7 linked regions of the Nothobranchius furzeri genome follow. The protein of the gene in region 3 binds, or shares a complex with, the protein of the main gene of each other region. Links are inferred from orthologs where the notes say so. Each region holds a gene or a part of one and is shown on either strand. Other genes may lie near its edges. The genes, in order: sf3b2, rnf113a, crnkl1, snrpd2, rbm48, ppil2 and sf3b5.

Region 1 (3,876 bases), about 58 Mb from region 3:
AATTGCTTGTTCAACTCAAAACGGGATCAAACTTGGTCACTACTAGGTGCTCCTGAGCTTTGTGCAGATGGGACTTACATCTTTTTTAGACATCAGACCATCTTCGTCGTTCTCAGACATCAGCGCTGAGGAATTGGTGGCATCCATGTCCCTCCCATCATCGTCGTCGTCTGTAGAGGGGAGAGTCAGTGAAGCAAAGAGCTAGAAACAGAGTAAACATCGGTGTGGCCGACGCTCGTCTGAGGGAGCTAAAGGAGGCTACAAAATCACAAACTGATGATGACCTGGCTTTGTTGCAACTGGATTTGTAAACAATATTGTTTGTTCAAAAGTCTGGTTCTTTTTACTTTGTGGTTTATTTTAGGATTAGTTGGCTAATGTTAGCCCTAGCTCATTATTAGCGCTAGCTACAGCAGGGTTGTTTGACTCTTGTAATTCCACTTTCATCCAGTAGGGGTAGAAGCTTAATGTGTGCAGCTTTAACTAACGATAGAGACCAAAATCATGTTCCATCCATCCATTTTCATCCACTTATCCGGAGTCGGGTCGCGGGGGCAGTAGCTTAAGTCAAGACGCCCAGACTTCCCTCTCCCCAGCCACTTGGGCCAGCTCCTCCGGGGGAATCCCAAGGTGTTCCCTGGTCAGGTGAGAGACATAGTCCCTCCACCGTGTCCTGGGTCTACGTTTAGGACTCCTCCCGGTTGGGCGTGCCTGGAAAACCTCACCAGGGAGGCGTCCAGGAGGCATCCTGACCAGATGCCCGAGCCACCTCAACTGCCTCCTCTCGATGTGGAGGAGCAGTGGGTCTACTCCGAGCCCCTCCCGAATGACAGAGCTTCTCACCCTCATCTCTAGCCACTCTTTGAAGAAAACTCATTTTGGCCGCTTGTATCCGCAATTTCGTTCTTTCGGTCACTAACCAAAACTCATGACCATAGGTGAGGGTGAAAAACGTAGATCGAATGGTAAATCGAGAGCTTCGCCTTCTGACTCAGCTCTCTCTTCACCACGACAGACCGGTACAACGCCCACATCACTGCAGATGCAGCACCAATCCGCCTATCGATCTCACGCTCCAGTTTTCCCTCACTTGTGAACAAGACCCCGAGATACTTAAACTCCTCCACTTGGGGCAGGACCTCATCCCTGACCCGGAGAAGGCATTCCACCCTTTTCCAAATCAAGACCATGGTCTCAGATTTAGAGGAGCTGATTCTCATCTCAGCTGCTTCACCCACACACTGGGTGTTGCCACCACGGCAGGCACCGACGATCTTGCGACCACAGCTCTGGTCGGTTGCCTCAACAATGGAGGCAGGAACAGGGTCCATTCAGACTCAATGTTCCCCGCCTCCCCCGGTACATTTTGGAAGTTCTGTCGGAGGTGGGAATTGAAGCTCCTTCTGACAGGAGACTCTGCCAGACGTTCCCAGCAGACCCTCCCGATACGTTTGGGCCTGCCTGGTCTGACCGGCATCCTCCCCCACCATCTGAGCCATCTCACCACCAGGTAGTGGTCAGTAGACAGCTCTGCCCCTCTCGTCTTCACCCGAGTGTCCAAGACATGCGGTTGCAGGTCAGATGAAACAACAACAAAGTCGATCATCGAGCTGTGGCCTAAGGTATCCTGGTGCCAAGAGCACATATGGACACCTTTATGTCTGAACATGGTGTTCATTATGGACAATCCATACCTGGCACTGAAGTCCCAAAACAAAACACCACCCGAATTCAGATCAGGGGGGCCATTCCTGCCAACCACACCTCTGCTGTTGCCCACGTGAGCATTAAAGCCCCCCAGCAGAATGAGGGAGTCACCAGAAGGAGCGCTCTCCAGCACCCCCTCCAAGGTCTCCAAAAAGAGTGGGTAGTCTGAACTGTAGTTTGGTGCATAAGCACAGACCACAGTCAGAACCCGTCCCCCCCACACGTAGGCGGAGGGACGCTACCCTCTCATTCACTGGGTAAACCCCAAAGTACAGGCACCAAGATGGGGGGCAACTAGTATGCCCACCCCTGCTCGGCGCCTCTCAGTGGGAGCAACTCCAGAGTGGTAGAAAGTCCAACTCCTCTCAAGGAAACTGGTTCCAGAGCCAGAGCCATGCGTTGAGGTGAGTCTGACTATATCTAGTCAGAACCTCTCAACCTCTTCATGTTCCTACAACAGAATTTTAGGAACAATGTAGATGAAAAAAGGGATAAAATTCATGAAAAAGCACAAACTGAAAGACAATCGTCATCATAAACTGAAGAAATTATTGTTAAGTCTCAACTTTGCTGAGAAAGATGCAATCTCACTGTGCTGAAAGGGGTTTAATTCATCCCTGCAAACTCAGAAGGGGTAAAAAAAAAAAGGTGCAAACTAAAATCAACCACCTGTCACCACTTGTCACGTGGTGACAGGTGGTTGATTGATGAATGCCCCTCCTTCCTCTGAAAACGGATTGACTGAAAGCGGTTTAGGGTGGGAGGCAGGGTATCTGCAGGTTTAAGGGAGCCAAATTTAAGACTTTTTAAGACCTTTTTTAAGGCCACTTTGACCAAATTTAAGCTATTTTTAAAATTAAATTTAAGCTATAATTCCCAGCTATTGCCTGGAGCCAGTACTAACCACGTCGTGAACGTGGGATTAGCCATCCAGTTACCATTAAACTTGCACTTCCCCATGGCGCAAGCTCCCACTAGCTTAACCAGCTAATGTGCTCATCTAAAAACAGCCCCCTTTCACAAGCAACTGAATGTGTACGGTTCCGCTTACGCCAACATCATACACAAAAAATGCTGAACACTAACTAGAAATTCACGAAAATTTTTATAGAAATAAAATAATCTTGTTTTTTGGGGTCTTTGGTAATTTAAGACCTTTGGAAACTGGATCTAAGGATTATTTGTCATTTTTAAGGATTTTTAAGGCCTTAAATTTGGAAAAGCAAATTTAAGACTTTTTAAGGACCCATGGCTACCCTGGGGAGATGGCAGCAGTGCAACTGCACAGGAAGCAAGCTGCTGTTAAAACCTGAAGGAGAAATGGAAACCCAACCAAAGTCTCCCCCCCCCCCCCAAATAAACTTTACAAAACGGGAACGCCATATTTAGCTTCAAAGATGTCGAATTTACCAAAAAGTGACAAGTTTGCAGATTTGTTATTTACAGCCAATTAGGTTGTATATGAATATAAATCATAAAAATGTAAGGATTAACAAATAAATCTTATTTAATCAACAACTAATCATTTAGAAGAACTATGAAAAGGATCTAAGAAGCGTCTGAGACCTGCTACATCAGTGAGCTGCCCCTGTCTGATCTCCTTCAGCTGCAGGATCTTCTCCAGAACCTGAGGGATCTTTGGCCCACTGATGCTGATCTCTTCATGCTGCCAGGCCTGAAAGAGCACAGATACGACAGAAAAATATTTTATTGAAACAAAAAGTTCATTTAAACCACAGCAGCCTGCTTCAGTCAGTGAGCTAGCAATAATTTAAAGGGACATCCTCTCAGAGGGAAATCACTTAACTGGATTTTTAAGCAGGAATAAAGGTAAACATTTAAATACAGAATTTATTTGAAAAGAAGAATTTATGTAAAATGTTAACAGATAAAAACCAGAGTGATGTGAAGGAGGTACAATATTAATCAGAGATTATTGCACTTTTAGAACAGCTAAAGCTAAAAAACAAACATCAATTTCCTATGGAAGCCCATTAAATTAACTCATATTTATGCCATTTCATAATGACTTAGCTATTTTGTTACTAGGCGGCAAAGTCATCATTATGAAACACAAGATGTATTTTTAAACAGAGTGGTGTAAATGGGCTTCAATGATTTACTGCACCAGTAATAGGGATGGGAACCTTTGACATTTGAATCGATCCG
Region 2 (4,296 bases), on a different chromosome or scaffold from region 3:
TCAGTAGTTTATAGCTACATTTATTGTCCAATTAAAACGCATTATTTTCCGGTTTAAAACAAAAATGACCTCAAACATTTGTGTGTGTGTGTGTGTGTGTGTGTGTGTGTGTGTGTGTGTGTGTGTGTGTGTGTGTGTGTGTGTGTGTGTGTGTGTGTGTGTGTGTGTGTGTGTGTGTGTGTTCAAATAATAAAGTTAAAGTCCCATAGTCATCATCACACTGGTGAAATTCATCTCCACATCTGACACATCCCGATGGAGAGCAGGGAGCTGCTGCAGTGGCTGCGCTCAGTAATTTGGTTGTTTAACCCCCTAATGCAACCCTTTAAAGCTGAGTGTTAAGCAGGGGGGGGGATTGGGTTCCTTGTTAAAGTCTTTGGTATGACTAGACCGGTATTCAAACCCGATCTCCCAATCCCAGGGCAGACACCTGATAGTGGCCTAAATTGTTTTATATCTGAAATGTTTGAGAAGAAATTACAAACTTGTTAGTTAAATTTCACAATCAAAAAGAATTACTTGATGTTCCTCTGAGTCTACAGCAGAGGGACAATAGGCCACCAGAGGGCGTATGATCTGATGTGTTTGTAATGCTGCTAATAGTTTTTGTTTTAGCGCGTTAATTTAATCTTGTTTAACACAGATAATTATGATACATTTATTAAGCTTCATCGGTTGTGTAGTTTATATAACTGCAGACCTTCTGACCTCTTGTTATTTCTTTTATTTTGAAAGGATTTATAGGAAGTGCTAATTGGTTATGTGTTGTTCAACTTTATGTGAACACTGTAGTAACCGCCTCTGACCGCCAGAGGTTGGAAAAAACCCTACTCTCGAAAGCCAGAAACTAATTGAGTTCTTGTTATCAAGTTGACATAAACAATACATTTAATCACTTATAGACAGATTGTGTTGGCATCAGTTACGTCAAAAGATTATTTAGACAAAAAGCAGTTAAACATAAAATTTTCTTACAAATTTATGTCATTCGTTTTTATTTATTTTTCTTTCTTTTTTTGTTTTTTGTTGTTATGGTTGTTGTTGTTGTTGTTGTTCTTGTGAAGCGCCTGCTCATGATTATTATCTTGAGCGGTCTTGTAAAAGATCGTTTCTTCTTTTTATCAACGACATTTCTAATGGCTATTTTTGTGTATTTTGTTTATTAATCGTTTATACATTTAGTGTCCAATCAAAATGCGTTAATTATTTTTCTGTTTAAAACTAAAATTACCTTTTAAAAATTATTTCAAGTACTACGGAAGAGGATTAAGGCCACTGAAAACAAAGAATAATGATTTAAATCTGAAAATTCTGAGATTAAAGTCAGAATTATCTTTCTGTTCATTTTTTTATTGTATTTTTCTTTTGTTTTCATTGGCCCTCGTCCGTTCTAACATAATATTTTAGGTTTACCATTCTAGCCAGAGCCGCGTTGACTTTGATTTATGGACGGTTGTGAATCTCATTTTGGCAGAAGGAGCGCGTCACGTTTCGCCTCCAGAACAACAGGGGGCGCTACTGCTCTGGCAGCCACTGTTCTTACACCAACAAAAACATGGCGGACCCAGACAAACCAAAAGCAGCTACTTGTACGTTTTTGTTTAAAAAATCCACCAAGAAATTCTCCGGAAGAAAACGAAAAGCAAGTGACAGCGATAAAGGTAGTAAACTATCATTTAGATACATTTCCTTGTAATTTTCTCCTAACTAGCGTTGTCTGTCCTCTGGATAGAATTGATAGCGGCTTCTCATCAGGGAGATCAAAACCGCGACCCAAACAGTTTGTTTATATTATCCTCCATAATAAACAGGACCAAAAACATTATGGTTTATCACCTGAAAGCTACATTTAAACAAAGAGGGGAAGTAACCTAGTTTAATTGTAATAGATTTTGTAATGTTTGTTTACACCAATTGTGTGTGTGTGTGTGTGCGCGTGTGTGTTTGTTTGTTTGTTTTAGATGGCGATAGTGACACTGAACAGACTGCTGTGGTCAGAAAAGAAAAGAAGGATGCTCGAGTCAACCCCATGATTCAAAAGGTAGAGCAGGCAAGCTAATAGATACTTAGTTATGAAGCAGCAACGTGAATGATCTATGTATTCTTTGTTCAGACAAAAAAAGTGGAGAGGGACGCTGTGTCTTCTAGTGAAAGCGAGGAGGAAAAGGGAGACAAAAAGATAACGGTTGCTTACAAGTCTTCCCGATCAGCGGTGAGTTCAGACTGCATTCATTCAAAAATGTCAGAGCCAGACAGTACAAGTCAAACACTGATCTTTTTTCCATCATGGCTCAACCTGGCTGTTGAGACAAAACATACAGGGGCTGAAACTTCACCAGAAAAGCAAATTTTAACATTATTTTACAATCTACAGACCATTCTCATCCACGTACACATGACTATGTGCCCTGAACAGTTGTTTTTATTTACTTTAAAACTTTCTACTGTACCTTGCCTTCATAAAAAGAAACCCGAGGGGCCTGAAGACATGGGTGCAACTGCCACTTATCAGCTGGACACAGAGAGAGACAAGGATGCTCAAGCTATTTTTGAGAGGAGTCAGAAAATCCAAGAGGTAGGACATGCCGCTATTGGTTAATATAAAATGAGAAATAATCAAAATCTCACCTTCGTCATTTGAGCTTTCCCTCCTCTGTCTCATTAGGAGCTAACAGGTAAAGAAGATGATAAAATATACCGTGGCATCAATAACTACCAAAAATTCATCAAGCCTAAAGACACCACCATGGGCAATGCCTCTTCAGGCATGGTCAGGTGAGGCAAGAGATATTCACATGCAGTCAGAAGATGTTGTTCACCTATAGATGCTGAAGGTTACGTTCAATCTGTGCTACAGAAAAGGACCGATTCGAGCTCCTGAACACCTGAGAGCTACAGTCCGGTGGGACTACCAACCGGATATTTGCAAAGACTACAAGGAGACGGGTTTCTGTGGATTTGGGGGTTGGTGAAAACAATCTGAACTCTTAAAACGTTCCTACTGTGAAGTCAAAGGTTTTGTTTATTAATCATGATTGCATCCGTTGCCATTAGACAGCTGCAAGTTCCTCCATGACAGGTCGGACTACAAACACGGCTGGCAGATTGAGAGGGAACTGGAGGAAGGGAGATATGGAGCAAATGGTGAGTAAATAATCGAACTTGAAATCTTCTCTTTTGCTGGCTAGACTAAGTTTCTGATGTGTTTTCATCTAGATGACGAGAACTATGAGGTGAGCAGTGATGATGAAGACTTGCCCTTCAAGTGCTTCATCTGCAGAGAATCTTTTAAAAATCCCATCATCACAAAGTAAGTACTGCGATGGTTTCTCTCCTTCAGTCCTTGTTTATTACCGGCTGGTAATCGCTGTTTCCTTAGGTGTAAGCACTATTTTTGTGAGAGCTGTGCTCTTCAGCATTATCGCAAGTCAAAGCGCTGCTACGTGTGCAACACTCAGACCAATGGTGTCTTCAACCCCGCTAAAGGTAAATGCATTTGCTCAAAAACATCCAAGAGGAGCAGAAACCAAAGTAAACAGTCACACTTGATGTTTTATTGTCATTTATTCTAGAGCTGATTGCCAAGATGGAGAAACGCAACGCTTTAGCCGACCAGCCACCGTCAGACGAAGAAGATTAGAACACGCTTTAGAACCCTCTCTGTGTTTGTCTGTGTACATTTCTAATAAAGTTCATGGCCTCGGTTCCTTTTGTACAATCATGTTGAAACACTGAAGCAGGCCTGGGTTTGTAGTAAAAGTTTTACATTTGTAACACGTTGCTTTGTCCAAACTTTCAAATATACATGCAGACAAAACCAGCACCAAGAAAACATTTACATCTGACGTCAGTAACACCCAGAGAGCCGAAGAAAAGGCTAACTTTTACGCTCTTAATGCTAAACTAATAATTACAACCTGTGCAACAAAAGAGTCTGAACCGTGAGACGATGCATCTGCTGTAGCAGACCGGAGCTAAGAAATGCTGTCAGTCCTCAGAGAGGACTGCTAGGTGCCCTTATGGTCGTCTCCTGGAGCAGACGGACCAAATCGTGTTAACACAAACGGTGGAGCGTCTCCTGGTAATATTACGTAGCAGCATTTCATTGATCCGTCTCCTGACCTTTATGGTTTGGGCTACATCTACCTTTAGAAAACTCAAGAGTTGTCCTTTTGGTTCGTGGGTGTGTGTAGAGTACAATCCGTGTAAATACCTGTGTGAGATAAACCAGTGCAGAGCAAGAATCCGCAAAGAGAACAAAAGTGAAGTGAGTCACCAACAAGAGGGTAGATGACT
Region 3 (2,930 bases):
GGTGGCGAGCTGATGGGCTACAGTGAGTTCTTCAGTTTTCTCAGTGAGTTGATGACGTCATCGCTGCTACAGCTTATCTGATTGTTCCTGTCACCAGTTATGGGGAAGGCGGAGGGATCTGTAGCCCGGGAGGAGTGGCATGGCCACGTCACGGCGCTGTCGGTGGCTCCAGACTTCAGACGGCTCGGCCTCGCTGCCAAACTCATGGAGATGCTGGAGGAGATCTCAGAGAGGTTTGTGCTGGCAATCAGACGGAAGAGCAGACGTCCCTCAGAGACCTGATGAGACACGTGTCCTTGTCCTGCAGGAAGGGAGGGTTCTTCGTGGACCTGTTTGTGCGAGTGTCCAACCAGGTGGCAGTGAACATGTACAAGCGTCTGGGTTACAGCGTCTACAGGACTGTGATTGAGTATTACTCGGCCAGCAACGGGGAGCCCGATGAAGACGCCTATGGTGTGTGTGTGTGTGTGTGCGCGTGCGTGCGTGTACATATCTCTGACCAACTGTTTCTTCCTGCAGACATGAGGAAAGCTCTGTCCCGAGACACAGAGAAGAAGTCCATCATCCCACTGCCTCATCCGGTCAGACCAGAAGACATCGAATAACAGCTGACCCTCACCATCATCACTTCCTGGTTACTCGTCACACCCAGAGACTGATTATAGAAAACACGTGGCTTCATGTTTTTATTTCCTGTAAATTTTCAATGAACATTTCCGAAAAATATAAAAGTGTGTGTGTGTGTGTGTGAGACAAATGAGCTATTTTAGTTCTTTAACTGAAGGAAAACCAAGGTGAAGTTTCTCAAGGAGGACTCTGGTCTTTCTCCTCCTTGTTGCGCCGGCTGCCCTCTCTCTCCTCCTCCTCCTTCTCCTCCTGGCTGCTCCCGTCGGATCGGTCACCGTGTGTGTTCTGCTGCTCCGTCTCCATTTGGATGCTCTCATCCTCCGGCTGCTTTTCAGGAGTTGCAGGTTGGTGAGAGGAAGATTGTTCCTCCTCACCTGCTGAAGACTTGTCTCCATCGTCCCTCACCTGCTGCCTCTTCCACATCTTGGCCATAGCGAGCAGCTTGAGGTTGGGCTGGTTGGCAGCATCTTCTGGGAAGATGTAGTCATAGTATTCTTCCCAGCCTGCGTCGGACTGATGGGAACAGAAACACCTGATCAGCTGAGAACATCTGGACCATGAATAATTAAAGGTAACGGCTGGGGCTTCACCACTAACCATTGGACCACAACAGGGTTTTGAACCGACCACCACGCTCAGATGAAAGTATTCCTTACCCCGTCTTCAGCTGTCAGCTTCCTCCTCTTCTTCACCTTCTCAGGCAGCAGCTTCCTGACCCGGTCCCTGGTGCTGTCGGACCCAAACTCCTTCTCAAAGTCTCTCCAGGACTCCAGCAACATCAGCCGCTCCTCTTTCTCCTCACAGCTCCTCATGCTCTTGTTGGCCTCCTCGTAGATCTGGCGACACTTCAGCAGCCGCGTGGGTTCATCAATGGACAGCTCAAACTTGGCAAAACTGATCCAAACCTGCAGGAGCAGAACTGGGTCAGCGTGGCCTTGGGAGTTCGAACCGGTATCTGGTTAGACCCAGTCTCACCTTGACATGCTGAGTGCGCTGCAAGAGCCTCCTGTAAAGGTTCCTGGTGTTCTCAAACTCCTCCTGCTCGATCTCAAAGTCGATGTAGGACTTCCACAGAACCTGAGAAGAGAACAGGGTCAGAGGTCTGAGTCCCGTTTGTTCTGCAGCATAAAACTAAGCAGTCCAAACCTCAGGCATGTCCAGTCGTGGCTGTCCAATGGCAAGCTCGAAGATGGCCCGAGCTCGATCCATGTCTCCCAGAATCGTCTCCAGTTCTGCAAACTTGATCCAGGTGGTGCAGTTCTCTGGGGTGAACTCCAGGTACTTCTCGTAGAGCTTCCTGCAGCGATCAAACTCTCGCAGCTGCAGCTCCAACTCGATGTACCCCTTAAACAACTTGTTCTTGGGACATTTCCCGATGGCCGTGCCCTGCATGGGGGTGGGGGGTTTAGCCTGATTGATACTTCTCTGTGAGCTCCACAACGGAGAGATGCACACGGAGTGTCGGAAAGGTTTTCACATTCGACTTTCTGCTCAGGCAGCGGAGTGTTGGAGAGCGATTCCACGCCAGGCCAACAGAGGGCGTAGCGCTGTTCTGTGGTATCCTGCCACCATGACCCCGTCCCCTATAGTGTATTTACTAACACGGACTAATGTGTCCCTAACCTCAACACCCACGTTTCCCGTGGTTTCAGGCCACGCTTGCTCTGTATTTTGTACTCCTTCACTCACGGGTGAATAACGTTCATATTTTCGGACCTTATATTATATTTATTTAAAGAGCAAGACACCCCCTACCAGAGTATTACTCCACTCCCACTTCCTGTTTGAAAAATGCATTAAATGCTGTTGCCTAGCAGACTGAGAGGGCGGAGCCGCTAACAAATACGCACACACACAGGCTCACAACGACATTGTGACATCATATGGTACCAGCTAACATTCTAGGGTACCTCTTAGCCAATAGCGATGGCAGATTTAAATTCAACTACAGAGCAGAGTTTTTACCTGACAACGGCACAACACTGACAGTTTTAGGCAGAAAATTTAAATTTTAACTAAAATGCACTAAAGTGCTAAACTATTGACTACACGTGTCTGCAGCACGATTAGACACGCATTTGTATAGTTTATCAGAAAAAAAAAGTTGATTTGGGGGTGACTTGCTCTTTAAACATTTATAGGGAACCTTTGGAACAATCAGCAGCAGCTGCTCAGCTGAACGTTGGGCACGAGTGGGTGTGTAGAAACGCAGGTCGGCCAGGTAAGAGGGTTGGGGCAACGCAGAAGTATAAATCAGGCTTAAGGTTGTGTGGTTTGGTTTTACAAGAGTGCAGCGCCAAAGC
Region 4 (4,380 bases), on a different chromosome or scaffold from region 3:
TTAATGCTTGTTGCTCTCTTAATTGGGCCACTGTAGTGTGTTCAGATTAGAGAATGCAGCTCCATCCCATGTAAGGTAACGCTGAGCTCATTTTAGTCTGCATCTCAAGATGCAAGAGTCTAGGGTGAGTGTGCTTGGTAAAGGTATAGAACCGTGCAGTCTGGAAACCAATCCCACTCATTCACCTCTCCCAGCAACACACAGCCTGCCATTATCTACAGCAAGTGATTTCCACAGGTAGATCTGTAACCTTTGGAACAAGGTGGGTGGGTTGAGCACCCATAGGCGTCTGTCTGTCTCTTGCCAGAAAGCCAATCTCTTAGTGTCTCGTTGCTGCCACATATACCCGTTTCTCTCCTTTACACACACACACACACACACACACACACACACACACACACACACACACACACACACACACACACACACACACACACCTTTGCTGTGTTAAACAGCGAAACAAAGGCTTACCTGTTTGGGCTGCAGACTACGGAGAGGTCTGCTTCCTCAGTCTTATTTATTTCCTCTTTACTTTGTGAGGAGAGAGTTTTTGATATAGGGCTGCATGGTACAAATGGTACTGCTTCCCCACAACAAGAAGGTTGCAAGGTTGCCTTTCTTCAAAGTGCATTCTGGCCATGCATACACTGGTTTTCACTGGATACAACAAGAACATTTAGGTTCCATTGTGTCTCTAAATATAAATACATATTTGTTTGTCCCTGTTTGTCTCCATGTGGCCCTGTGCTAGACTGGTGACCCATCCAAGGACTCACCTCTTGACTGATGAGTGCTAGAGTTGGGCATCAGCTTCATGACGTATGAAGAATAAGCAATGACGAAAAAAGAGGGGCTTACCTTTTACACGCTTGTTCTATGCACTGGTTGTGTTGGAACTGTATTGAAGAACTACTATAGATGATGATGATGATGATAGATAGATAGATAGATAGATAGATAGATAGATAGATAGATAGATAGATAGATAGATAGATAGATAGATAGATAGATAGATAGATAGATAGATAGATAGATAGATAGATAGATAGATAGATAGATAGATAGATAGATAGATAGATAGATAGATAGATAGATAGATAGATAGATAGAATTTAGGAAAAAAGTAACTAAGAAAATAATAGTTTCAAGATTTTTACATTTATGGATGATTTTTTTTCCATTACACTTACCGAGCAGAATCTCCGTAACCCGGAAGTTATAGCGAACTGTTTAGAGCGCGTTGAGAATGACCCGGAAGTGTTTTCGTCCACGAGAAGAAGGCAGAAGCGTTGCTCATAAGAATTAGACGGTGGAAACGAGAGAAAAACAGCTTTAAACAGTTTTTATAAACCACCAATCATGTAAGTGTCGTTGATGATGAGATAGCCATTTCGGAAAGTGTCATTTTTTGAGATAGAGTATCAGCTACGAGTCGCAGCGTCTTTTCTCGAATGCTAACATGTTTAGCCTTTTCACTGATGAATGCTAGTTAGCTCACGTTGTGTTGCTTTCTAAACGTGCTATCGCTTTTCATATTTTACTCACCATTAACCTAATATGTACAGGGTAATTACTGCAATAAAATATATGTAGTAGTTACGTTGGTGATCGTTAATGATGCTACGATTGTTTAAATTTTATGTTTGCCAATTGCGAAATATTAGCAGCACGATTAAGGAGACCGGTGTTGAGTCAAATTGTGTTCCCCGTAGATAACAGTTTGACCAACTTTCTAAAATGTGCGTTTGGAGAATGAAATTGTCAGGATATTAGCCTAGTAACGAAGTCGGCTTTATGTTTTTGAAGCATATGAGCTTATTTTAATTCAGAACATCATTGTTAGCGACGTTCTGTCTCAAGGATGTTCCACATGTTTTTTTTAATCAATCTTCTAAGAAATCCATTGCTTGATACAAAAGAGTAAAGGAAGGTTATGAAGAAACTCAGAGAAACAGTTAATTGTTAATGCAAAACTTGTCATTCTAATCTCTTCAATTTTTTTTAACTTCTGATTGCTAACCAGTAAATTAAACGTGTATGTCTGATATTGTTGAATATTTGGCTATTGCTAAAAGTAGCTTGGTGTAAATTTTTTAAAATAAGTTATTAGTTTTGTTAAATGCCTATGGGAACTTCCCCACTCTTCTACTGAGAGATTTAAATTTTAATCTCGGTTAAAGTCAGGTTTCTTGAATTGCATTTAGTTAGGGTGCCTTGTTTTCATTTATTATCTTGTAATCATGTAAGTTTTAAAAGCAAACCGCTAAAAGGACTTGTGACCGTTATCTGTGCAGAAGCAAATGATCTAGTATCGTGTCTGCTTTTGTGTAGGAGTCTGTTGACGAAGCCCAAATCAGAGATGACACCAGAAGAACTCCAGAAGCGGGAGGAGGAGGAGTTCAACACCGGCCCCCTGTCGGTGCTCACCCAGTCAGTGAAAAACAACACTCAAGTCCTCATCAACTGCCGCAACAATAAGAAGCTGCTTGGAAGAGTTAAAGCTTTTGACAGGTATTGAAAGAATTTTCATCTAAAAAAAAACATTCAGAGTTCTGCATCTATGCGAGAAAATTTTACATTTAGCTTTTTATGTTTATTTATTTGCAGACGCTTTTATCCATAGCGACGTACAATTTTTTACTTGTAGGGCATGTTGTGATCTGTAGGGGAAACCGGAGTACCTGGAGGAAACCCATGCATGCATGGGGAGAACACTCAACTCCACGCAGAAAGGCCACAGCCGAGTTTCGAACCTGCAACCTTCTTGCTGCGAGGCAACAGTGCTAACAACTGCGCCACCATGCATTTATGCATTTGGATGGCAGAGTCAAAAAACTTAAAATCACATTTAGGTATGGCTGCCACAAAAGACAATTTTAATAGTAGACTAATCACCAGTTTTGTTGACGATTAGTCAACTAATCATGTCATCATGCATAAAAGTATAGCTTATTGCACCAGGGTGCCCTAATATACCCGATGATAGCTTATCAAACAGCTTTTAGTTAACTTTGTAACCCAGGGGTGCCGGAATCCTGGTCCTGCATGTTTTAGTTTGAACTCCGCTTCAACACACCTGATTTCAATCAGCAGCTAATTAACTGGCTTCTGCAGAGCCTGATGAGCTGCTGCACAGGTGTTTCAACCACTGAATCATGTCTGTTGGAGCAGAAAAAACACAAAACCTGCTGGATACCTGCCCTCCAGGACCAGGATTGGGCACCCCTGTAGTAACCTGTTAATACAAATGCTAAACAGTCAAATGGAGGTAGGCACCTAAAACTAGGGCTGTAGCGAAGCCTCGACGAAGTCGACGGCTCGATTCTAAAAATTTGTCGACGTCAGATCCGGAAGTTGACGCACCGCGCCCACTTGTTGCATCCCCAGGAGTTTGTAAATAGAGGAGGAATCTGCCTGTTTTTCCTCTAGTTTGCCCTCTTCTCCGCCTTCACTAACATCTCCGCCAAATACCGAAGACCCGGAACAATGTCCGTCCACTACTAGATTATTTTCCTGTTTTTCCCCTTCGTCTCCCGGCAACGGACAACAACTTCCGGGGTCAGATGCGCTGCTTCATGTCTATCGCAGATGTAGAAAATCACCGGGAGCGCTTCTCCCTTCATAAAGGAGCTTCTTTCAGACATGAGGAGAGCTGTTTTGGTGGTAGCAGTCTCTCCTCCCTGCTGGTCTGTTTGCTGCCGGGTGTTTTTGGTTTATTTAAACTTGGTAACTTGAACTTTTGGTAAAGCTACTGTTAGCATCTTCGCTAACAGCTTCTTGCATTGGGATAAGCTGTTACGTTTTGGTTTAGAGTTCATCTTTTTTGTGGTGTAGATCTCCCTTTTATTACATTTAGAGTGTTGTGGGTTTTCGGTTTAGTGTAAAATATTACCTGAGTTTGGTTTAACCCGTAAGACCACTCGCCTCACGCACATAAGTGACCAAAACAAAGCAGCATGGAGACACTCCATCTTCTACCACCTCTCAGGCAGCAGCCTGCACTCCCAAGTTCTACACGTCACCAGAACATAACCAACCGCAACACAATAAAAGCATGGAAGGCCTGTAGTGTTTATTCTCTTACAGTAAGAATTTATCAATTTTTTTGAGGAATTTATTTGAGATTTTCTGGTTTTTGTTAATTGTGCAATAGAAAAATAATCATTAGATTAATTTTCTAAATAGTCATTAGAATAGTCGACTATTCGATAAAATAATCGTCAGAATAATCGTTTTAAAAATAATCGTTTACCCCCAGCCCTACCTAAAACCAAAAATAAATTGTAAATAAAAATGGCTTGTGCTCACAAATGTATCCAGCTAAAATAGTCTTTTTTTCCTACACAAGGTTCTTGTTCACAGTCAGGAAAGTTAGCGTTT
Region 5 (4,656 bases), on a different chromosome or scaffold from region 3:
CATACACATATATATTGATGATAATATAATTGTTGTTTTTGTAAAAGTCTATTTTGGGCTGTTATTTTTCTTTAATTAGTACTGTTCTAATGTTTTTGTGACCATTTTATTTGTTTGGTGGTAAATTTGCACCCATGTGAAGGATTTCAAGATTTTCCTAATATGCAGAAAGTTTTAGCAGTTAAAATATTGACAGTGTGAGATAAAATAACATGCTCAGGGTTTCCTCTACGATTTTGATAAACCGTGGTGGAGAGACGTGCGGAGACGGTCGCTCTGAGACACGAGCAGTATGCTTTTCGATGAACATTCCTGCAGGTGTGTGTAAAACATCCATCCATCCATTGTCTGAACCCGCTTTGTCCATGTAGGGTCGCGGGGGTGGGGGGTTGGGGGCTGGTGCCACCCTGAACAGAGAGCCAGTCCATCGCAGGTGTGTAAATCAGCTTATTGTTTAATTACAATTAAATAAAAAAAATGTAAAAATATATTTACCTTGAAATAATTTGTATTGCTTGATTCCCACCTTGATTACAGCCATGGGCGGAACTTGATTTCTGTCCATTTTGGGTCCCAGCCAGATTCTCTGTGCTGACTTTTTTCTTCCCTCTTACCGCTTCCCTGCTGCTCTCTCCCTCATCATGCTCACTTATGCATGCTGGTCCTTGTTCTGCCTCTCCACTTGTCTCTCCTTCGCTCACCTCCTGATGGTTGGCGCGCACCAGAGCGGTGTCCTGAGCATGGCGACAGTAACATTCTCAGTGTCTCCACGTATAACACACGATTGTTTATGTCGACTCGTGTCCTTTTTATGCTTCCTGTCTTTTATTTGTGCCCGATGCGTTTTGCTGCTGCGGAGCGAAGCGCATCACCTGTTTTGTCCTCAGGTGACTTCACCACACCGGTGCGCCCTCGCTAATTTAGCGGTCGGTAGATCTTTTTGAACTGCAGTTTAAAGTTTTGTTGCAATAAAATTTATTTTAAACTGTGACTATGGTTAGTACACATGCACAAATATAGACTATATATGTCTCGTTATTGTTTTAATGTATATCCAAAAAAAATGTTTCTGAAGGTACGTTGTTTGAAGTTTTTTTTTTGTTTACTTCTGAAGGTGTGGCAGCTTTTATTTTTCCGTAGTGGCGCGCCACGGCAACATGCACATAGGAAACACAGTATTAGTATTTCTTTAGCTTTCTAAATGTAAATTTGTGCACTCTTTACATAATAGCTGTTTTTTTTAACCTTTTTTATACAGGTTGGTATCATAGCATACAACAGCCGATGAGATAAACAGTTTTCCGAAGCAGTGGGAGCGTCGGTTTTCTTCCAAGACTCCCATCTAGACACCTGTCCAGATCATATCCGACGACGTGGTTTTGTCTTTTTCTCAACAGCTTTGAAACCCGGAGCAGATCCCACCTGAAAAAAAAAAAAAAAAGATTCACATGTTTTAATCCTTCATTAAGGCTGATTTACTTTTTATGAAATTATTAAAGTACTGAATCAACAATGACCTGTTTCATTGTGTTCCTGATCAGGCTGGCAGTTGTGTTCAACGAGTCATCATTCATGTCCAGTTTAGGTGGTTCTGGTAATTTCGGTCCAATCAGGGTCTCGGTTCCTCCAGAAACACTTGCCGACTGCTCGGGAGCCTCTTCCATTCTGCGTTTCCTGATCTCCAAGTGCGAGGACCTTGGGAGAAACCTGAATGCTGAAGCCTGATCTGAGGTCAGTCTGTGTTCTGTGTCGTGGTCTCTCTCTGAGGCTTGGTTAACGCTTAACTTTTCCACTTGGGGCTGTTTCAAGTTTATGATGGCATCATGTAAAGTTCCCATTTTGTCCTCCTGTGCGCTGATCCCATGTGGACTGTTATGTCCAAAGGGATGCTGCTCCCATGGAGGTAATGGGAGAGGAGGGAATTCTGCATGTTGGCTGTGGTTTGAAGCATCCTCTGCACATTCTTTTTTAGAGGTTTGATCGTGTCTGACGTTTATGTCTGATGCAGTCGTCGATGATGCGGAGCCTTCGCTGTGCGCCGCTTTTGCTTTGTAAGAGAAGATTTGTTTTAAAGCATTGAAAAGCAACATTTAAAGGTCAGAACTAAATCAAACATGATGTTAAACGATACCTCTGCTCCGAGCTGCTCTCATAACATAACCCCTCCGGTCCTGTAGCTTTAGCCTGGTGTCTTCTACAGTCTCATACTCTGGGACGTAACACACATGCAGCACACCGCCGTAGAAGCTTTTCTCATCCATGTTGCGTTTGGCTGCTCTGAAACAGAAACATTCGATAACGATTAAGCAGGTATTTCCAGTAAAGTATGAGGAGCGAATAAATCGTACCTGGCGCTGGTTAGCTTCTGGAACTTGATGAGGTAGACTTCTGTAAACTCCTCAGCCGGATACTCGTCCAGAGGTCTGTACTCCTCCACAACACCATACAGGGCACACAGCTGGACCAGCTCCGTCATCACACCGATAGCTGGGACTCCCAGTACCATCAGGAAACGGGACTCTAGGTTAATGGTGTACACCTGGAAATTCACAAGACTAAAGTTACATTTCCTGCGTTCAGTGCAGTATTAGAATGATGTTACCAATTAAGCTAAAGCAAATCTTGTGTGTCTTCTTTACAGAATTTATGAACATTTTAGCTGAAATTAATAACTTCTAAGATTGTCTCACCTTAACCGCTTTAGCTCTTCTTCCTTCTCGATACTTTGGTCGAGAAATGCAAACTTTCTGCTGTTCGTGATGTTTGTGAACGTCAGGAACTTTCCAACAACCGGAGCTGTTGTTTACAGGGACCGCCATGCTTATTCTAAATGCTGTTCCGGTTTAACACTTTCAAAATAAATGCTTTTAGTTCAGTGAATGCGTCTGCACTTCCGGTTTAACACTTTCAAAATAAACGCTTTTAGTTCAGTGAATGCGTCTGCGCTTCCGGTTTAACACTTTCAAAATAAATGCTTTTAGTTCAGTGAATGCGTCTGCACTTCCGGTTTAACACTTTCAAAATAAACGCTTTTAGTTCAGTGAATGCGTCTGCGCTTCCGGTTTAACACTTTCAAAATAAATGCTTACAGTTCAGTGAATACCGTCGCGCTGCCTGTTAGAATACTCTTTTATTTTGAAAGCAAAAGATCAACTACTTTTGCCTGGTGAGGAGTCCATCGTCCACAGAGCACATCGATAAATCCAATTGCTCTCTCTGCCTGGTGTATGCTAAGCTAGCTAGCAATGCGAAAATTATGTTTAGCAACCAGGGAATTCAAGCCGTTCGTGTCGTTTTTAACAACACAAAAAACTGCTTTCTTCACCTCCCTTCCAAGTTGGTAGCGCATCTTTCCTTGAACGAGGTAGGTTAGCTAACTAATTTCATGTTGATTTACTGCTTTTTAGATCATTTCTGTACGTTAAGACTTAGTTTTAATGTATAATGTCTGTGCTAGCATAAACAGATGACAGTTTTTAAACGACTAGCCGGGTTGTCTTATGCTCAGATGAAAGTACTTTTGTTTGAGATTTTATAAACATGCAAAGCAAACAGTTACCTAATCAACGACAGCTGCTGGTTTTTAGGATTTTCAGGTGAATTGCTTCCTTGACATCTATGTTTGCCTTATTTTACTGCATTAGAGACTTAGAGAGACACACTTAGACTACTGTAACTCTCTTTTCACGTGTCTGAGCAGAACCTCCCTGAACCGTCTACAGGTGGTTCAGAACGCCTGTGCTCGGCTTCTGACCAAGTCCTCCAAACGCACCCACATCACCCCGCTTCTCCTCCAGCTTCACTGGCTGCCAGTCAACTTCAGGGTTCATTTCAAGATCCTGGTTCTGGTCTATAGAGCCTTACATGGACAAGCACCATCTTACATTGGTGATCTTCTTAGTCCCTACACCCCCAGCAGGTCCCTGAGGTCCAGTGATCAAAGCCAACTGGTTGTGCAGCACCAGGCTAAAGGTCAAAGGTGACAGATCATTTGCTGGTGTGGCCCCCAGACTGTGGACCTCTCTCCCCCTGAGCCTGAGATCAGTGGACTCAGTGGTCTCCTTTAAAAAGCAGCTGAAAAGTCACCTGTTCAGGCTTTGGTGGGACCTTCACCACCCTCTCCTTGTTCTGCTCTTTGCACTTATTCCACATTTCCGTGATCCACTGATTTCCCGCTTCCCTATTCATTTTCTCTCTCCCTTTCCTTGCATCGTTTGCATTAAAACACACACACACACACACACTGCAGCCATGGTCCTTTAACACATAAAATGCTTAGATAACCAAAAAAAGCAGAAAAATAAATGTTTTGTCTCTCTTTTTTTGCAGAATCAGGCGCTGGAATTGTCCTGGGGTAACGGATCTCCAGTGTTTCTCAGCTGGACTCGAAGTAGGGCCTCCTCCAGCCAGGATGCTCACAGGGTGGAACTGTGTCGGCAACTTGGAGAAACGTTGGGTTTGAGAGACGGAGAGCAGGTGAAACCCTGTTAGGGATTTTTTTTTTACAGATGTTAATATTAACTGACGGTTGTGTGGTTCCTACCAGGGCTTCCTCAGACCGTGTCATCAGGTCTCATCGCTGACTCAGGTGTTTGTGGAGCCGCTATCGTCTGATGACTGGGAGATCTTGGTGAGCGACAGCTTAAGTTACTTGAT
Region 6 (3,876 bases), on a different chromosome or scaffold from region 3:
GTGAAGGAGGCAGAAACTCTTCCTGTTGAGTAGTGGGCCTGGGGGGGCAAACACAAACATGGCTTTCAGGTCGGCTTTTTGCCCTCTTCAATACTAATAAATGGCGAGTACGAAAGGTTAAAGCTCATCCACACATGAGATATGATGTGACCTCTAAAACACCCACCGTCAGCTCTTTGACCTCTTTTATGACCTCTGCACAACAATGTTTCCTACTTCTACTGACTGAAACCCTGTTTTTGGTTTGGGTTTAGTAGTGGGAGGAACGCCGTTTACTTTTCTATTCTCCTATTGTAACCTGCACAGAAACCCTGCTAGCTGCACGGAGAGTGAATCAGAAATGGGCTTAGAAAAGAAAAGGTGCAGTCGGGAAAAGCAGTGGATGGTCTTTTGTGGAAACTGACTTTACTAATCCATAAAACGGGTCACAGGCCACTCGTCTCCCAGTCATCAGATGAGTTATGTAGCACACATTTGCCTTTGGTACCGGGGTGGATCAAGTCCAACAGGACGGCACATTGAATACGTTCCACTCTGAATGTTTATTTGAATACTGAAGGAAAAGGAGACAGTCTGGCTAACATGTTGGTAGCTGTAGTCTGGTTTAGTAGTTAGTAGTTAATCATTTACCACGACGCAACAACAACCCTAACCAGAACCAAACCAGCAGCTGTGACTTTAATCTGAGTCATCATATCTGAGAACACAACTGTTCACTTTTCATTCTTGTTTTTTCTTTAAATGAACAGAATCTCCCATTACTCTTTTCCTTTTCCCTCCACCATAACTCACAGTTTGGCGCCCTCTTGTGTCCGACTTTGAGCTTTTGAAGCAGAGTTGTTCTGCTTTAAGATTTGACCTACAGCATTTATTTTGTCGGTCTTCTTGGCTTCTGGCTCCTTCATGGTGGAAGCCAAGAGCTGATCCCCCTTGTAGTCTTTGTAAAGCTCAGCCAAGGTCTCCCTGGTTTCCAGGTTGGTAGTCTTCAGGTGATACGCTGGATCCTGCCTCGCCTTCTCCTCGTCTAAACGGCAGCAGATAAAGGAAAGAAGTATTTTACTCACAACAAACCAGAAATTTGACTCCGATCTCAAAGTAAAAATTACCTGCATCTGACATTTTCAGGTTGTTCTTCACATGGAAGAAGTTTGACACGTTGAATTTATCCAGGTTTGTGGGGTCCTTTAAAAACAGAAAGCAGATGTTTTTAAGGGCCTGCATCGTGCGAACTCCAGTCTTTGGAGCTTTTGACCGTGTTTTATTATTTCCTGATGAAAAGCAACGTAAAGCAGTTATTTTCCTGTCTCAGCTGCTTCTTTCCTTCAGCTCTGGAAAACTCTGCTAAGCTTCAGCAAAAGCCTGGGTAGAGCTTAGTTGTGTCATCACTGCCCCGCTCCTCCCCATCCAGGAGTCTCGGGTCTGGATCCCGCCGCTCCAGCGCCTCATTTATCAAACCTTACTAGAAACTGTCATATTTCCAAATTCAGGATGTTAGCCTGAATGTCGTTTACATACAGAAACGCACTCGATTAACCATACTTGGTCACACAAGGTCCTCTAATGCCACTTACACGCTAGCATCAGCTCCACTCTGCTCCGCCCACCCCAGCCTGGCCACATTCGTCCCCCACTGCCTTAGCGATGTAACTGAGCAGCACATGGGCGGTCTGTGGCCTGTGATGTCATGATCGGATCTCCGAGCACGTGGGCGGGACAAAAGAGCACAGAGGTCCACTCCACGGGGTCTTCATTATTAAGCAAAAGCAGCCCGAGCAGTCTTGCTTTTGGAGACTCAGCATCCTGCTTTGCTTTGCTGTGTGTGTGTGTGTGTGTGTTCCTCACAGCAGTGAGAGACAAAGTAAAATGGCTTCAGTCAGAGGCTCGTTAACACCACAGCATCCAGAATGATACTGAGTGCGTTTACATGCAGCCAGTAACCCTTTTAAAACCCGAATATTCACAATAACCCGGTTCCGCAGGTCCATGTAAACACCGCCAGAAACCCGGATATGCTCATAACCGGGTTTTTAAAAACCCGATTACTACACCTGGGGTAACCCTTTTCTAACCCGAGTGTTTGGTCGTGTAAACGCATATCGGGATATCCCCATCAAAGCGTGTGTTCTGCGCATGCTCTGTTCGCAAGGAATCTTGGTCTTTTGAGTAGCGAGACGTCTTGTATGCGCGAGAACTCCGGAAGTAAACAACAAGTTGGGAGCAAAATGGCGAGTCACGGCACAGCACCACACTTTTGGAGTGACAAAGAAACTAAAGCGCAAACAAATGCGGTCGCTATCTCTTCCGAACTGGGAAACATGTTGTTGTTTTCACGGATACCGGAACGAGAAGAACCGGAAATGAGGCATATTGCGTCTGGACGTAGTCCATACGTCCTGACGCTACCCCAACGTCCGCATTAAAATCGGGTTATGTAAGTTAGAGGTAACTCTTTTTATTTATGCTTGTAAACGGGTTATTCTGATCAACTCAGAAACCCGAATACCGACCTTAACCCGATCATAACCCGGATATAGGCTGCATGTAAACGTAGTCAATGAATTGTGCCGACGGGAAGCCCCTGCAAGCTGATTCTATCTGCCAATCGGAGGCTCCCCCTAAAAGTACGCGTGACTTTGAGCCAGCCAGTCAGCAGGTAGCGTGTTGGACCAGTTTGGCTCCAGGCAGACCGCCTCAGGAAGAGGGCTAAAAAGACGTCCGGTGAGAAAATCCAAATGAGAACACTCCCAACCCGGTCCAGGCGGAGTGGAGCCGATGCTAGTGTGTAAATGCCATAAAGCTCGAGGGAAATCCCTGCGTTCTTCCCGGGGAAAACAAAACCAACTTCAGTGGCAGCGAGATCGAGGCGCTGCAAAAGAAACGACTAACCTGGAGTGTGATGATGTCCTTTCTTGTGAAGGGTTCATCTGTCAGCAGATCTTTGAAACTCTTGGTTTTGATGTTTAGTTGCTCGACGGCCTGAGGAAACCAAACCAGGAACATCACATCATCTCTAATTTATTATTTGTTTATATGGAAGGTTTATGGATTCCTACCAGTTTCTTCAAGTTATTTAAAAATATTTGAAAATGTTCAACATTTCTGTAAAAACGCTAACCTTTAGGGTTTGAATAGGACGTAACATCTGTACATGTTTAAGGGAGAACTGTTTGTGTTTGACTATCGTTAAAGTTTACTGACCTCATAGGAAAACACATTTCCAGTCACCTTGTTGGCAACAATGTGGGAATTATTTGTGAAGACGTTGTAGAGAACAGGACAGTGATACTTTCCTGGAACACGATACAGAAATAAAAGAGAAAGCAGGGATAATCAGTCTCAGTTCGGTCAGATAAATGTTCGTCTTCTCTGGAAATCATAAAGTATCTAAAACTTTTGTTCACCGGTCTGAAGAACAACACGAATACCTTCTCAGTGGCCTAGTGGTAGCGTGTCCGCCCTGAGACCGGGAGATTGGGGTTCAAATCCTGGTGGGGTCATACCAAAGACTAAAAAAACCAAAAGGAACCCAACGCCTGCCTGCCTGCTTGATACCCCGCGTTAATGGGTTGGACTGGGGGGGTCAAACCACCAAATGGCTCCCGGGTGCAGCTGTCTGCAGCTCACCGCTCCCCCAGGGGATGGGTCAAACGCAGGGAGCAAAGGTCACACTAATAACTAACAGGTCTTTTCATTTTTAATTGAATTCAAATCTGACGAGCTTCGGCAGCAATCGTCCCGTTTTTAAGTTTCTCTGGTTAACGAGAATCTCGAGGCTGCAAAAAACAACTTTTGCTTTTGTTGTTGAGGTCCTTCACTCGTATTTTTAATACAGTGGCTAAGGAGGTACAGCAGGTTGTCCAGTAATCAGAAGGTTGT
Region 7 (4,214 bases), on a different chromosome or scaffold from region 3:
CTGTCACATTTGTGTTTCTGAGGCAATTTAATTTAAAAATTCTAGCTTTTTGTGTGTCAGCAGTTCCCAGTTTTGTCTTGAAAAAGCAGGTCGGCTGGTTTTGAAAGCAGTCTTTTGGCAATTTTTAATAACATCATAAACCTGTGTTCTGTTGTTTTTAACACCGTTATTTTTTTTCTTCAACCACCTTTTGGTGGACTTTTCTAAATTTCACCCACTGATTTTTCAGATAATTTTCTTCCGTGAAATTTCCTACTGCAAATAAGCAGTTTCAGCATTTGAACCACAGTGCATCAGTTATTGTTGTAGTTGAGTAAAAGCATTTTGCTACAACTATAATAAAATAAAGATTATCTGCATTAAATTCTCTTTTTTTTCTTAATATTGCAGAAAAGTATTGGGTGTAGCTGAAAAACACCAGCATTTCAGAGTAAAAGGCTTCAAAAGGCTACCTGCCACCTATGAATGTTTATTCAAATAAACCCAAATCACATTCAATCCAAATGATGACAAATAAAAGTGTTGTGAAAGAATAGATGAATAGCTGGCTGTAAAATAAATAAGATTGTAGAAAAAGGTCAAATTTTAATGAATAAGCAAAACTTATCATGGGCACATTGTAATCATCAATCTCTTCAATCTCTTCACAGATAATTGTGCATCACTTAGACACATTTACCGTTCTTGTAAACATTGAGATCTTGAAATAATTTGTTTTGCCTCAGTGCTGTCCATATGCAAACAAAACTACTATAAATGGATGATCCAATTATTTTTGATAGGGTCAAACAGGATTTAATGGTAGAAAAAAGAATTTCCAGGGACAAAAGCTCACTCTGGAGTTATTTAAGCATCATCGGGCTTGTCTGCTGGGGGCCCACATGGCTGAAGCATCTTCTCCATCAAATTGAAGCGAACGCGGGCCTTGCTCTCATTCTCAGCCACGGAGAAGTAGTTTAGCAGGTCAAAGTGTCCCATGTAGGAGCAATATGAGTCACGATGTTGGTTGACCAGCCATTCCCACTTGCTGGTATCAGCATGTCCTGTGCCGATGTACTTTGATTGAAGATGTTCCAGCTGACTGTGGATGTTGTATCGGTCCGTCATTTTCACTCAAAGACTCTGGATGGGGAAAGGATAGAAAAACATCACCCGTGATGTTCTTTAAAATCATTTATATAAAAAAATTCTACATTTTCTAGAATATTAGGCTGATTCATTAGACGTTGTTCTTGTACAATGTTGTTTGTAAAGGTCAATCTTGTTTGATTCACCAGGGAAAGAAGTCCTTTAAGTTTTAAAATAAACTTGGGGTTTCATCAGTGTCCAGATGAAGATGTACTGTTATTCTTAAAAAGATAATGTGTGCATGCTGTACGTAATTCATGCTGGGATGCAAAAAGCATCACTTGTTTTTACTACATTGTGTCAGAACTCCATACACACATTAGCCTGTATGATGTTGTATAAGGCACATACTGAGCAGGTAAAGCTTTTTAAAATGCTGCTTTCTAGGGATGAACAATATATCAGCATCAATATCTGTATCGGCCGATGTTGGTCAATTTTTAACATATCGGCTCGATAAATAAAACCAGGCCGATATTTTTTCCATCTCGTCTCCATTTGTTCGCCTGTTTCAGAGGGTGAGGGGGGTGATGTGTAATTGTTTAGTCATGTGAACAGTGAATGAAATAATCTCAGACCCATAAATGTGTGTGTTGCGTGTACATAATGTAAATTCAGCTTTAATGTCAGCATATCTGTACCGGCAAATATCAGTTATCAGCCATAACAGTGAGCTCAATATCAGATATCGGTATCAGCCCAAAAATGTCATATCGGTGCATCACTACTGCTTTTCTACATGTTTTAACTTTTAGAACAGCTAAAAAGTTTCAGACTTTTTAACATTGATTTCCAACAATGGTGGAAAGAAGAAAAAAAACCTCCAGCTCAGTCTCTTTTTAATTTGGGTCAGACAAACAAAATAAACGAGTATTTGCAGCTAATCGTAGCAGCAAAAGCTACTTCTTAACAGTATTGATACTATTTATTGACACAATCAGCAGATCGCATGCGCTTTTGATTTAGCAAAAGAAAAGACAACACAAACGCAACAACAAAACCTTAGAAGGTCCCAGGACTAAGTACTGATAACGCAACGTGTGGGTGACTACTTTAATCTGGATGTATGGTGACAACTAGGGAAAAAGACAGAATTAAAGCTTAAAAACTACCACTCCAACATTAAACATCCCAAAAAGACTATTATTTAAAGCAAAATACAAACGAACATTTCAAATATATTGGAAAGGCTAACGATGTTAGCAAAGTTATCTAATTCGTTCATGCAGTGTATTTTTCCACTGCATTCGAATCCTTAATCGCCGTTATTTATGTGAGTTTTATCCAAATGATCAACATTGACATATTAACAAACAAAATACAATTCCAAATATTCGGTCGTTGCCCTTTATTTACACATTTTCTTTGTTGGACAACGTTTGATCTTCCACTCTTTATGCTAACAGTAGCTTAGCTTAGCTAGTCGGTCTTCGTGTAATAAAAGTCTAAATTTAGGCTCCCCTGGAGGGCAAATAATAGCTTCAGCTTCACATCAATTGGTTTTAAAAGAACAAAACACTTACGTAATGTGTACAGAGATCAAGAACTAAAACAAAACAGGTAAATTAATTCTGAGTCGTTCAGGCACTGACAAACGACCACTGCCGGCGCGTTACCCTATGAAATGATCCGGGTAGGAACAAATGTCGTACTGTTCTGATTCCGCTCCATTGGTCAAAGTGTACTTCTTACTCACTCAAAGAAAGTTTTTTTTTTTTTTTTTTTTTAGAAAATCTGGGTACATTAAATACAGTTATTATTTTCTTTGGTTTATTTGTAGGTTAATTGAAAATAGGTTGTGTCTATGTTGCAATCTTTTCTTTTTTATGTTTTAAATTCGTGTGTAGCCTCTATCATCATTCCACACCATTCAAGGGAATACGTCCATTGTTTTTCTTATGCTTCTAAAAACAAATAGTACTACTTGGTCTTCTTCCAAATAAATAGACTGCAGTATTTATTGGCTTTTTCTAAGGATATAAATATGCAAGTGTCTGCAGCAATCATTAGAGTACCTGTGCAGTGAGATAAACTTTTCATCAAAACTGATGTATTCATGTTGTTTTAAAACATTTATCTTAAAACAAATAATCACAGTACAATTTTTCAAATTGCCACATCGAGACTAAATTGCTCAGAATTGCTTAGCACTGGGCTCTCCTGTGGCTGGTATAATGAAATTTTTTCTGTGGATAATGTGTTTGATGATGTTCTGCATTGAGCATGTTTGCTGCCTGTAGAGTTATGACCCTAATTTTCCATCTACCAGCTGTTGCTAATGGCAACCATGATTGGGACAGAAAAATATGAAAATATGGTTAGATTTGGGTTCAGAAATGTTTTGAAATATTTGTTAAAAATTACTCACCTATGATCTTGACTGCTTTTCCTCACTAGGGTCAAAGGGAGCAGTCTTTCCCCAGCAGTCATTAGCAAAGTACACCCTGGACAGGCCACAAGATATCACAGGGACACTGGGACAAACAAACTACCACGTTATGGTAGAGTCGCGTTGTTGTTATCCAACGTGGATGTTTTGTCTCTACAGATAGCACAAGCCTGGAGGAGCTTCTGCTGTGTGGTGGGGTTGCTAATGCTAATGGTCAGTGTTGGGAAAGTTACTTTTAAAAAGTAATTAGGTATAGTTACTGATCACGTCGTTGTCCAAAAAGTAACTAAAAGTAACTAATCACCAAGAAAAATAAACATTTTGTTACCTTTTTTTTCACTAAAGAATGCAAGAAAAATGGGTTCCCCTCTTGATTAAACTTACTTAATTTACTATAAATTACTACAATACTGAAATATAAATGACTAATGACTGGAACATAATAAAATGTATGTCAAAATGTTTTTTTTTTATCAAACTGAATAATTGAAACAGATGGGCACTTAACAGGAGGAACTACAAACAGGAACATTACATTAATCAAGACTATTAAAATGTCACTGTGTGATATTTAACAAGACCCCAATCAGCTCAAAATTATAATTGCAAATATAAACAACTGTAAAGGTTCCTGAGCCTTTAAATGGTCTCTCAGTATAGTGAAATTCCTGAAATAAAAGTAATTTTGCACAGCATT

What was found.
Region 1: crnkl1 (region 3) and sf3b2 share a complex: the UniProt entries of both Homo sapiens proteins name them as parts of the minor spliceosome. The link is inferred for Nothobranchius furzeri from reciprocal best matches to the Homo sapiens genes CRNKL1 and SF3B2.
Region 2: crnkl1 (region 3) and rnf113a share a complex: the UniProt entries of both Homo sapiens proteins name them as parts of the minor spliceosome. The link is inferred for Nothobranchius furzeri from reciprocal best matches to the Homo sapiens genes CRNKL1 and RNF113A.
Region 4: crnkl1 (region 3) and snrpd2 share a complex: the UniProt entries of both Homo sapiens proteins name them as parts of the minor spliceosome. The link is inferred for Nothobranchius furzeri from reciprocal best matches to the Homo sapiens genes CRNKL1 and SNRPD2.
Region 5: crnkl1 (region 3) and rbm48 share a complex: the UniProt entries of both Homo sapiens proteins name them as parts of the minor spliceosome. The link is inferred for Nothobranchius furzeri from reciprocal best matches to the Homo sapiens genes CRNKL1 and RBM48.
Region 6: crnkl1 (region 3) and ppil2 share a complex: the UniProt entries of both Homo sapiens proteins name them as parts of the minor spliceosome. The link is inferred for Nothobranchius furzeri from reciprocal best matches to the Homo sapiens genes CRNKL1 and PPIL2.
Region 7: crnkl1 (region 3) and sf3b5 share a complex: the UniProt entries of both Homo sapiens proteins name them as parts of the minor spliceosome. The link is inferred for Nothobranchius furzeri from reciprocal best matches to the Homo sapiens genes CRNKL1 and SF3B5.

What each region holds. Positions count from the first base shown.
Region 1 is NC_091742.1:75,390,466-75,394,341, forward strand, and holds part of sf3b2 (splicing factor 3B subunit 2), read right to left. Parts: intron 3,383-3,876; coding exon 3,274-3,382; intron 171-3,273; coding exon 79-170; intron 1-78. UniProt on the Homo sapiens protein: Component of the 17S U2 SnRNP complex of the spliceosome, a large ribonucleoprotein complex that removes introns from transcribed pre-mRNAs.
Region 2 is NC_091745.1:10,008,168-10,012,463, forward strand, and holds rnf113a (E3 ubiquitin-protein ligase RNF113A), read left to right. Parts: upstream 1-1,501; 5' UTR 1,502-1,555; coding exon 1,556-1,661; intron 1,662-1,961; coding exon 1,962-2,041; intron 2,042-2,113; coding exon 2,114-2,212; intron 2,213-2,467; coding exon 2,468-2,575; intron 2,576-2,665; coding exon 2,666-2,775; intron 2,776-2,857; coding exon 2,858-2,964; intron 2,965-3,054; coding exon 3,055-3,144; intron 3,145-3,216; coding exon 3,217-3,310; intron 3,311-3,379; coding exon 3,380-3,486; intron 3,487-3,572; coding exon 3,573-3,640; 3' UTR 3,641-3,704; downstream 3,705-4,296. UniProt on the Homo sapiens protein: Required for pre-mRNA splicing as component of the spliceosome. As a component of the minor spliceosome, involved in the splicing of U12-type introns in pre-mRNAs. E3 ubiquitin-protein ligase that catalyzes the transfer of ubiquitin onto target proteins.
Region 3 is NC_091742.1:17,430,375-17,433,304, forward strand, and holds the end of crnkl1 (crooked neck-like protein 1), read right to left. Parts: intron 2,014-2,930; coding exon 1,774-2,013; intron 1,705-1,773; coding exon 1,603-1,704; intron 1,533-1,602; coding exon 1,284-1,532; intron 1,141-1,283; coding exon 805-1,140; 3' UTR 674-804; downstream 1-673. Other genes in the region: naa20 (N-alpha-acetyltransferase 20), read left to right, coding at 1-22, 98-233, 308-453, 520-605. UniProt on the Homo sapiens protein: Involved in pre-mRNA splicing process. As a component of the minor spliceosome, involved in the splicing of U12-type introns in pre-mRNAs.
Region 4 is NC_091753.1:27,245,851-27,250,230, forward strand, and holds the start of snrpd2 (small nuclear ribonucleoprotein Sm D2), read left to right. Parts: upstream 1-1,223; 5' UTR 1,224-1,359; coding exon 1,360-1,361; intron 1,362-2,331; coding exon 2,332-2,511; intron 2,512-4,380. UniProt on the Homo sapiens protein: Plays a role in pre-mRNA splicing as a core component of the spliceosomal U1, U2, U4 and U5 small nuclear ribonucleoproteins (snRNPs), the building blocks of the spliceosome.
Region 5 is NC_091759.1:22,195,388-22,200,043, reverse strand, and holds rbm48 (RNA-binding protein 48), read right to left. Parts: upstream 2,835-4,656; 5' UTR 2,820-2,834; coding exon 2,691-2,819; intron 2,540-2,690; coding exon 2,349-2,539; intron 2,278-2,348; coding exon 2,132-2,277; intron 2,048-2,131; coding exon 1,518-2,047; intron 1,423-1,517; coding exon 1,360-1,422; 3' UTR 437-1,359; downstream 1-436. Other genes in the region: peroxisomal ATPase PEX1, read left to right, coding at 3,257-3,364, 4,330-4,476, 4,547-4,630. UniProt on the Homo sapiens protein: As a component of the minor spliceosome, involved in the splicing of U12-type introns in pre-mRNAs.
Region 6 is NC_091750.1:38,466,395-38,470,270, reverse strand, and holds part of ppil2 (RING-type E3 ubiquitin-protein ligase PPIL2), read right to left. Parts: intron 3,291-3,876; coding exon 3,199-3,290; intron 2,977-3,198; coding exon 2,887-2,976; intron 1,183-2,886; coding exon 1,107-1,182; intron 1,025-1,106; coding exon 864-1,024; intron 39-863; coding exon 1-38. UniProt on the Homo sapiens protein: Has a ubiquitin-protein ligase activity acting as an E3 ubiquitin protein ligase or as an ubiquitin-ubiquitin ligase promoting elongation of ubiquitin chains on substrates.
Region 7 is NC_091752.1:24,290,222-24,294,435, reverse strand, and holds sf3b5 (splicing factor 3B subunit 5), read right to left. Parts: upstream 2,765-4,214; 5' UTR 2,652-2,764; intron 1,123-2,651; 5' UTR 1,108-1,122; coding exon 847-1,107; 3' UTR 561-846; downstream 1-560. UniProt on the Homo sapiens protein: Component of the 17S U2 SnRNP complex of the spliceosome, a large ribonucleoprotein complex that removes introns from transcribed pre-mRNAs.